Sus scrofa: one gene and its partner. The protein of the gene in region 1 purifies or fractionates together with the protein of each later gene. This does not show direct contact. Links are inferred from orthologs where the notes say so. Each region holds a gene or a part of one and is shown on either strand. Other genes may lie near its edges. The genes, in order: PBXIP1 and SLC27A1.

Region 1 (3,803 bases):
CTGAGGGGTCCATTGGAGGAGCTGGAGACGTGGGTCAGAGGGTGTTGAAGTGAGGTGGGGCCAGAGCCTGGGAACTTTTTTTTTTTGTCTCTTTAGGGTCACATCTGCAGCATATGGAGGTTCCTAGGCTAAGGGGTTGAATCAGAGCTCCAACTGCCAGCCTACACCACAGCCTCGTCTGCAATTTAACACCACAGCTCACAGCAATGCCAGATCCTTAACCCACTGAGTGAGACCAGGCATCGAACCTGCATCCTTATGGATACTAGTTGAGCCTTGACGGGAACTACCAGCCTGGGAACTTCTGGAAGGGGCCTGAAGGGCCTGGCATAGGCATTCGGGCCTCCTCCTGCTGGGAAATCACTAAAGGGCTTTGAGTGGAGGGAGTCAGGACAATCCCTACCTTGGGCAGAGCGGGCTGCCACTGCATGGGTCGGGTGGGAACAAGGTGAGAGTTTTGGAAGGTCCTACAATTCAGGTTGTAGTTGGTGGGGCCGGAGCCTAGGGGACTCCTGTGCCCCTGAAACCACTGAGAAGGGGGCCAGCAGGCTGGGGGACAGAGGGGCTGGAGCAAGTTTGTCAAGGGCTTGGTGTATTAGCACTGCCAGGAGGAGAGAGGGTAAGGACGTCAGGTTCGAGTAAGCTGTCCTCAGGCTGATACTGGGATGGACACCATGCGCCTAGTCAGAACCTTGGCCTCCTGTTGGGGTGCCTTTGCTGACAGCTGGGGGGCCTCGGGCAAGGCCGTTTCACCTCTCTCTTCCCTTAAAAAGGGAGTTGTGATTCTTGCCTTTTAGGGAGGGGTCATGAGCAAAAAAGTGACTTGAAAATGGTGAAGAAGAGTTCCTGTAGTGGCTCAGTGGGTTAAGAACCCGACTGGTATCTCTGAGGATGTGGGTTGGATCCCTGGCCTCTCTCAGTGGGTTAAGGATCTGTCGTTGCTGTGAGCTGTGGTGTAGGTCACAGACTCAGCTTGGATCCGGCTGTGGCGTAGGCTGGCAGCTGTAGCTCCAATTAGACCCCTAGCCTGGGAACCTCCATATGCTGCAGGTACGGCCCTAAAAAGACAAAAAAAAAAAAAGATGTAACTGGAGTGAAAGCCTGTGGGGGATGTGGCTGATCCTTCGGCATCCAGGGGACTTTGTTCTTTTACCATCCACCCACCTTCCGGCCAGTAACTGAGTTGCCAGTTGTGGGGAGGGAGGCCCTGGCTCTAGCCGGCCTCTCTGGGGTGGTGGGGGGCATCAGGTTTGTAGAGTGATCCAGTGCCTTGGTCCAGTGGTGCTTCTCCATTTAATAGAAGCTTGGCCTTCCAGAGTACCCAGAGTGCCCCAGAGCAGCAAGTGAGGTTTAGGGAATGGGTCAAACACTCTCTGGAGCTGAGATGCCGCAGCACCAGCTGACCCCCGCCCCCTGCCTTCTCGGGCTCAGCCCGCTACTGAACGTGTCATATTCTGGTGAGATGTGTGTTGGGGTCCCTGAGCCATGCAGCTGGTCCCAGGGACCCTAGTGGAGCACCCTGTGCTCTTGCTGTCCTTCCTCTGGGACAGCCCTTCTGCTTGTGTCCCTTCCCCCAGAGCTTGCCTGTGGAGACACTGGGCCCTGAATCCAGGAGGGACCCAGAGCCTGAGAGCGCCCCCCACACCCCTCAGAGCCCCTCCAAGGCAGCTGCTGAAGAATTAGCTGGGACTTTGGATGGAGAAGGTAACAGGGCGCTGCTGGGGGGGCGGTGCAGCCACCTCTCCCCCGTGTTCTGGGGTTTCCCAGTTTCCTTGGGGAGAGGGAGGCTGGTCGGTCTTATTTCCTGCCTTAATGTCAGCTGAAGACCTTCCTCCCTCGTCCCATCCTGGCTTTGTCCTGCCTCTTCCAACCAGGACGGGGCCTGTGGGAGGCAGAGGGCCACGTGGGGTGTTCAGCTGGGGGCTGTGGTATTTTTCCTGAGCCCTTTCTCCCGCCACAGAGACCCTGTTTCAGAGCGGGCGCTCCGGGTCTGGCCCGACTCTGCCAGAGGAGACGGAAGCCAAGGTGAGAACCCGTGCTGGGGGAGGGGAGGAAGGCGGGGACGGGCCTGCTCACGGCTCTGTCTGCATCAGGGAAGCCTGGAAGGTGATGCTTGTGGAATGGAGCCTCCTGGCCCAGGAGACACAGAGGCCCAGGGAGACTTGGAGGAGACCCCCATGGTGGGAGGCCTGGGACCAGACACACAGGACCTGGAGGATCAGAGCCCCCCCAACAGCCTGCCCTCATCTGCCAAAACAGGTGAGAGTCTTCCTTGTCACTATCCTTCTAGAAGACATCCCTGCTGGGCACAGGCCCTAGGACTTAGTGGCTTGGTACCCTCTATATCATTAACTCCTCCCCCGCTTCCCCCAGGGGCTGGGAATAGCTGCAGGAGCTTGATGTGAGCCTGTGGCGTTGGAGGGAGGAGGGTGCTTTTAGGGTGAAAGCTGCTCTTGTAGGAGTTCCTGTTGTGGCTCAGTGGTAATGAACCCAACTAGCATCCATGAAGACGCAGGTTCGATCCCTGGTCTCGCTCAGTGGGTTAAAGATTTGGCATTGCTGAGAGCTGTGGTATAGGTGGCAGACCCAGCTCGGATCCTATGTTGCTGTGGCTGAGGCGTAGGCCGGCGGCTGTAGCTCCGATTTGACCCCTAGCGTGGGAACCTCCATGTGCCACGGGTGTGGCCCTAAAAAGTGCAAAAAATAAATAAATAAATCTTTTTTTTTTTTTTTTTTTTTTTTTTTTTTTTGTCTTTTGCCATTTCTTGGGCCGCTCCCGCAGCATATGGAGGTTCCCAGGCTAGGGGTCGAATCGGAGCTGTAGCTGCCGGCCTACGCCAGAGCCACAGCAATGCCAGATCCGAGCTGCGTCTGTGACCTACATCACAGCTCACGGCAATGCCAGATCCTTAACCCACTGAGCGAGGCCAGGGATCGAACCCGAGTCCTCATGGTTCCTAGCAGGATTCGTTAACCACTGAGCCACGACGGGAACTCCAAAAAGTTCTTGAAGTTTATAGATTGGAAGGACTGATCTCCCGCTGCTGGACTGGGCGGGGGTGGTTATGGATGCCCAGGCAGACGTGGGTGGGGGTCTCCACGTGCCTCCTCCACCGTCAGGGCTGAGGACCTCCCTGTGCTTGCCTCTATTCCGCATCTCTTGGGATGTCCCATCTCTCCAGTGGCCTTACTGCCCTGTCCTCATCCCTCCAGCTTGGCTCAGTGAGGAGGTCCATGGCTCCAGCAGTGAGGATGACACAGATGTGGACGTGGAGGGTCTGCGGAGACGGCGGGGTCGGGAGCCCAGCACTCCGCAGCCCGCAGCCCGCCCGGGTGTAGAGGACCTGGCCCAGGCCCGAGGCGAGGCCGCGGGCGGGGAGCTGGGCATCTCCCTCAACATGTGGTTCCTCGGGGCCCTGGTTCTGCTGGGTCTAGGCATCCTCCTCTTCTCCGGTGAGCCATCCCTCCCCTGCTGGGGCCTCTCCTCTGGCCCCTTCTGCCTCCTGCTGTCCTTTGCCCAGCCCCCCCACAGAGGGCCTGACCTGCCTCCTCTGTCTCCCTTTTTAGGTGGCCTTTCAGATTCAGAAAGTGGTGAGTGAGGACAGGTCCTGGCTGGTTCGAGTCTGTCCCCTCCCAGCCCTGAGGGAGGTGATGGGTGGTTCTCTGGGTCTGGAGTAGAGATGCTGGGGGCCGTGCATGTGGGTGGGCTCTGTGAAAGGCCTTGTCAGCTCTTCAAGGTGACCCTTGACCCTTTAACCTCACTTGACCTCTCAGCTGCAGGGAGGGTCGGGGCTGGAGGGGGC
Region 2 (3,803 bases), on another chromosome or scaffold:
CTGTGCCACAGATGATCTTTGTGAGTTTCATTCATGCATATAAGAATTTGTTGTAGTAAAATGCATGTAAGATTTACCATCGAGTACATTCACAGTGTGGTGCAACCATCAGCTCTATCCAGAAAAAGTCCCTCACCCCAAAAGGAAACGCTGTTCCTATTAGCAGTCACTTCCCATACCCCCAGCCCCGAGCAACCACTAATCTGCTCTGTCTTCAAGGGTGATTTTTGAGGTGTAATTTATATATCATAAAATGCACCTGTTCTAAGTGTACAGTTGGGATTTGGGGTACCACATGCAGGTAACCACCGCCATCAAGATATGGAACAGGAGTTCCCATTGTGGCTCAGTGGAAATGAGTCTGACTAGCATCCATGAGGACGATGGTTCGATCCCTGGCCTTGTTTAGTGGGTTAAGGATCCGGCATTGCTGTGAGCTGTGGTGTAGGTCACAGACGCGGCTTGGACCCTGTGTTGCTATCTATGGCTATGGTGGAGGCTGGCAGCTACAACTCCTACTCGACCCCTAGCCTGGGAACTTCCATATGCCATGGGTGTGGCCCTAAAAAGACAAAAAAAAAAAAAAAGATATAAAATATTTTTATCTGTCTGCAGTGGACATGTTGAGTCCAGGGGTGTGGAAGCTATTGCAGAGAATCAAGGAAGCACAGAGGAGGCAGCGGGGGTGCAGAGGATGGATTTCATAACCAATTTGATGCCAGAGCTGGTGGGACACAGTGCCAGATGCTGGTGCCAGATGAAGCCTAAAGAGGGGGTGGAGTCAGGACCACTTATATTGGCAGAGCAAGCTGCTGTAACAAACAGGCCCCTACTTGTCATTGGCTTAATCCAGCACAAGGTTACTAACCTCTCAGAGCCAGGGGCTCTGGGTGGCAGGGTAGGAAGCCAAAGAAAGCCAGGAGAACACTTGTTTCTTGAGCTCGTACACTGAGAAATTCTGGATTTCTTAGTTCTGTGATCGAAAGCGATTTGTTTGCTTAAAACCACACAAGTTCATTTCTCACTCATCTGAAAGCATGGCATCCGTGACTGCTGCTCATCTCCACAGGGTCATTCAGGAACCTGGCTCCTTTTACTGGGCTTCTACTTTCCCCTGGCTCCCCTGGTCCCCTTAGAGCTACTAGCTGAGGGGGATGGGGGAACAAGTCATCTGCCATCAGGGCCTCTTGCTAGCCTGTCCCCTGGCCCTGCCTGGGGCAGAGGCAGCTCCTCCCACGGGTGCCTAGTGCTGCCGAGTAACTTGGGAGTGGGACAGTCACCCAGCTCACAGATGGACCCCACAGCCTGGTTGTGGAGTGGAGCATGAGGCATCCAGGCTGGAGCCAGTGGCAGGTCCACACGGGGTGCTGGGGACATCCCAGGGAGGAGAAATGAAGGACTGGGCCCTGGCTCCTTCAGGGTCACTGAGCAAGCTGGGGTAAAGGAGGTTGGGGTGACTCAATTACATGGCATGGTCTGGCCAGCTCTGAGAACCCGCCTATTTCCGGGCTGGTTGGTAAATGGCCCTTTGTCCTTAGTCCCCTAGAGCTCAGCAACCCAAGGGTCTTCAGGGAACCCTCGCCACTCTGGGAGGTAGGGGGACCTTTCCCTCTGCTTTCTCCATGTGGGGATGCTGAGGCTCCAGGAGGTCTCCCAGAAGCCGGGCTGGATGCCCAGTGACACCAACCCCTCATCCCCTCTCCCAGCGGCCTCTCCGTGTTGATCCGTGTGCGCCTAGAGCTGCGGCGGCACCAGCGCGCCCGCCACACCATCCCGCAGATCTTCCAAGCGGTGGCACGGCAGCAGCCTGAGCACCTGGCGCTGGTGGACGCTGGCAGCGGCGCATGCTGGACCTTCGCACAGCTGGATGCCTACTCCAATGCTGTGGCCAACCTCTTCCGCCAGCTGGGCTTTGTGCCGGGTGATGTGGTGGCTATCTTCCTGGAGGGCCGGCCTGAGTTTGTGGGGCTGTGGCTGGGCCTGGCCAAGGCGGGCATGGAGGCCGCTCTGCTCAATATTAACCTGCGGCGGGAGCCCCTGACCTTCTGCCTGGGCACCTCGGGCGCCAAGGCCCTGGTCTTCGGAGAGGAGCTGGCAGTGGGTGAGGCTGGGGGCGGGCATTTTCTTGGTGGGGGCAGGGAGACGGTGCCCCCCCCAGGCTGTGGGAAGGGACCTGTCCATCCTTGACCGTGGCATATGTTTCGGGCCTCAGCGGTGGCCGAGGTGAGCGGACAGCTGGGCAAGAGCCTGGTCAAGTTCTGTTCTGGAGACTCGAGGCCTGAGGGCCTCTTGCCGGACACCCAGCTCCTGGATCCGCTGCTGAAGGAGACCTCCACAGCCCCCCTGGCACAGCCCCCTGGCAAGGGCATGGATGGTGAGCTGGTGTGGGGGGTCCCTCTGCTGAATCCCACCCTGTCCCCTCCTCCCACCCACCCCAGCCTCTGGTCCCAACACTTGACTCTCTCTCTCAGATCGACTCTTCTACATCTACACGTCAGGGACCACGGGGCTGCCCAAGGCTGCTATCGTCGTGCACAGCAGGTGTGGGGCCCGTGGGTGTTGTCCCCAGTGCGGAAGGACTACAGATCATCTGTCCCGCCTGATCACCACCCCGCCTCCGGCTCCTGTTGGGGTCTTGTGGGCATCTTGATCCCAACTCAGTAAAACCCACAGCCCACCTCAGGACACAGTGCTGCCCCTCCTCAACCCCCCCCCAACTTCTGCCCCAATAGCCCTCCTCTCCTCAGTGGCCATAGGAGGGTTTAAAATCCTAAATCAAGCCTCCCCTGTGCCAGACCTCCCAATACCCACCTTGGCCCTGATAATAAAAGCCACATCTGCGTTGCCTGGCCCCTGCCACTTCTCTGATGTCATTTTCTTCCTCTCTACCTCTTACTCCCTCCTCCTCCGGCCCTCCCACTTTCTAAAACTGGCCAGACCCCTTCTGATCTCAGGACCTTTGCATGTGTTCTGCCCTCCACCTGGTGCCCTTCCCTAGTGTGCCCCACAGCTCCCTCTTGCCCTGTCTTGGCTTGTGGGTCACCTCCCCAAAAAGGCTACCCCAACCTCCCTGGCTGTGTCCCTTTCAGCTTCTCTCTGTCTCTTTGCCTTATTATATCCCTCATGGCACCTAGCACCATTTTCTTTTTTTGTTGCATGTCCCTCTCTGGCCAGCCTGTAAGGCCCCTCTGAGCTGGGCTGGCTCAGCTTCGCTCCTTGCTGTGTCCCTAGTTCCCAGCACGTACCCATCCCTTCCATGCTTTTTTCAGGGAGATGGGTCCCAGCCCCTGCACCCCTTGCCCCCACAGGTACTACCGCATCGCGGCATTCGGCCACCACTCCTACCGCATGCAGGCAACAGACGTGATCTATGACTGCCTGCCCCTGTATCACTCGGCAGGTAGCAAGGGGCAGCTCGGGTGGGGCAGGGGGCGGGGCCCTGGGGACCCCCCCTCATCGAGTCCACTCTCTGCAGGGAACATCGTGGGCGTGGGTCAGTGTCTCATCTACGGGCTGACGGTGGTCCTCCGCAAGAAGTTTTCAGCCAGCCGCTTCTGGGAGGACTGTGTCAAGTACAACTGCACGGTCAGACCCCGCCCCCTCTCGCCCCTCCTGTGCTCCGCCCACCCGCCCACCCCTGTGGCTCTGAAAGGCTGCCTCCCAGGGACGTGGTGGGGCTGGACGGATGAATCAGTGCCTCAGGCTCCGTGTCTAGCCCGAGGCTAAACTCACTGGATCTTTACAGTTACTTGGAAGCGGCAAAGGCGTCATATCCATTTTGCAGGTGGGGAAACTGAGGCTTC

The links.
Region 2: the proteins of PBXIP1 (region 1) and SLC27A1 purify together in Homo sapiens (co-immunoprecipitation; 3 studies listed by BioGRID and IntAct, with this or other methods). This does not show direct contact. The link is inferred for Sus scrofa from reciprocal best matches to the Homo sapiens genes PBXIP1 and SLC27A1.

The regions. Positions count from the first base shown.
Region 1 is NC_010446.5:94,840,178-94,843,980, forward strand, and holds part of PBXIP1 (pre-B-cell leukemia transcription factor-interacting protein 1), read left to right. Parts: intron 1-1,577; coding exon 1,578-1,704; intron 1,705-1,960; coding exon 1,961-2,025; intron 2,026-2,093; coding exon 2,094-2,259; intron 2,260-3,213; coding exon 3,214-3,453; intron 3,454-3,567; coding exon 3,568-3,591; intron 3,592-3,803. UniProt on the Homo sapiens protein: Regulator of pre-B-cell leukemia transcription factors (BPXs) function. Inhibits the binding of PBX1-HOX complex to DNA and blocks the transcriptional activity of E2A-PBX1.
Region 2 is NC_010444.4:60,221,860-60,225,662, reverse strand, and holds part of SLC27A1 (long-chain fatty acid transport protein 1 precursor), read left to right. Parts: intron 1-1,706; coding exon 1,707-2,101; intron 2,102-2,212; coding exon 2,213-2,374; intron 2,375-2,471; coding exon 2,472-2,541; intron 2,542-3,308; coding exon 3,309-3,400; intron 3,401-3,475; coding exon 3,476-3,585; intron 3,586-3,803. UniProt on the Homo sapiens protein: Mediates the import of long-chain fatty acids (LCFA) into the cell by facilitating their transport at the plasma membrane.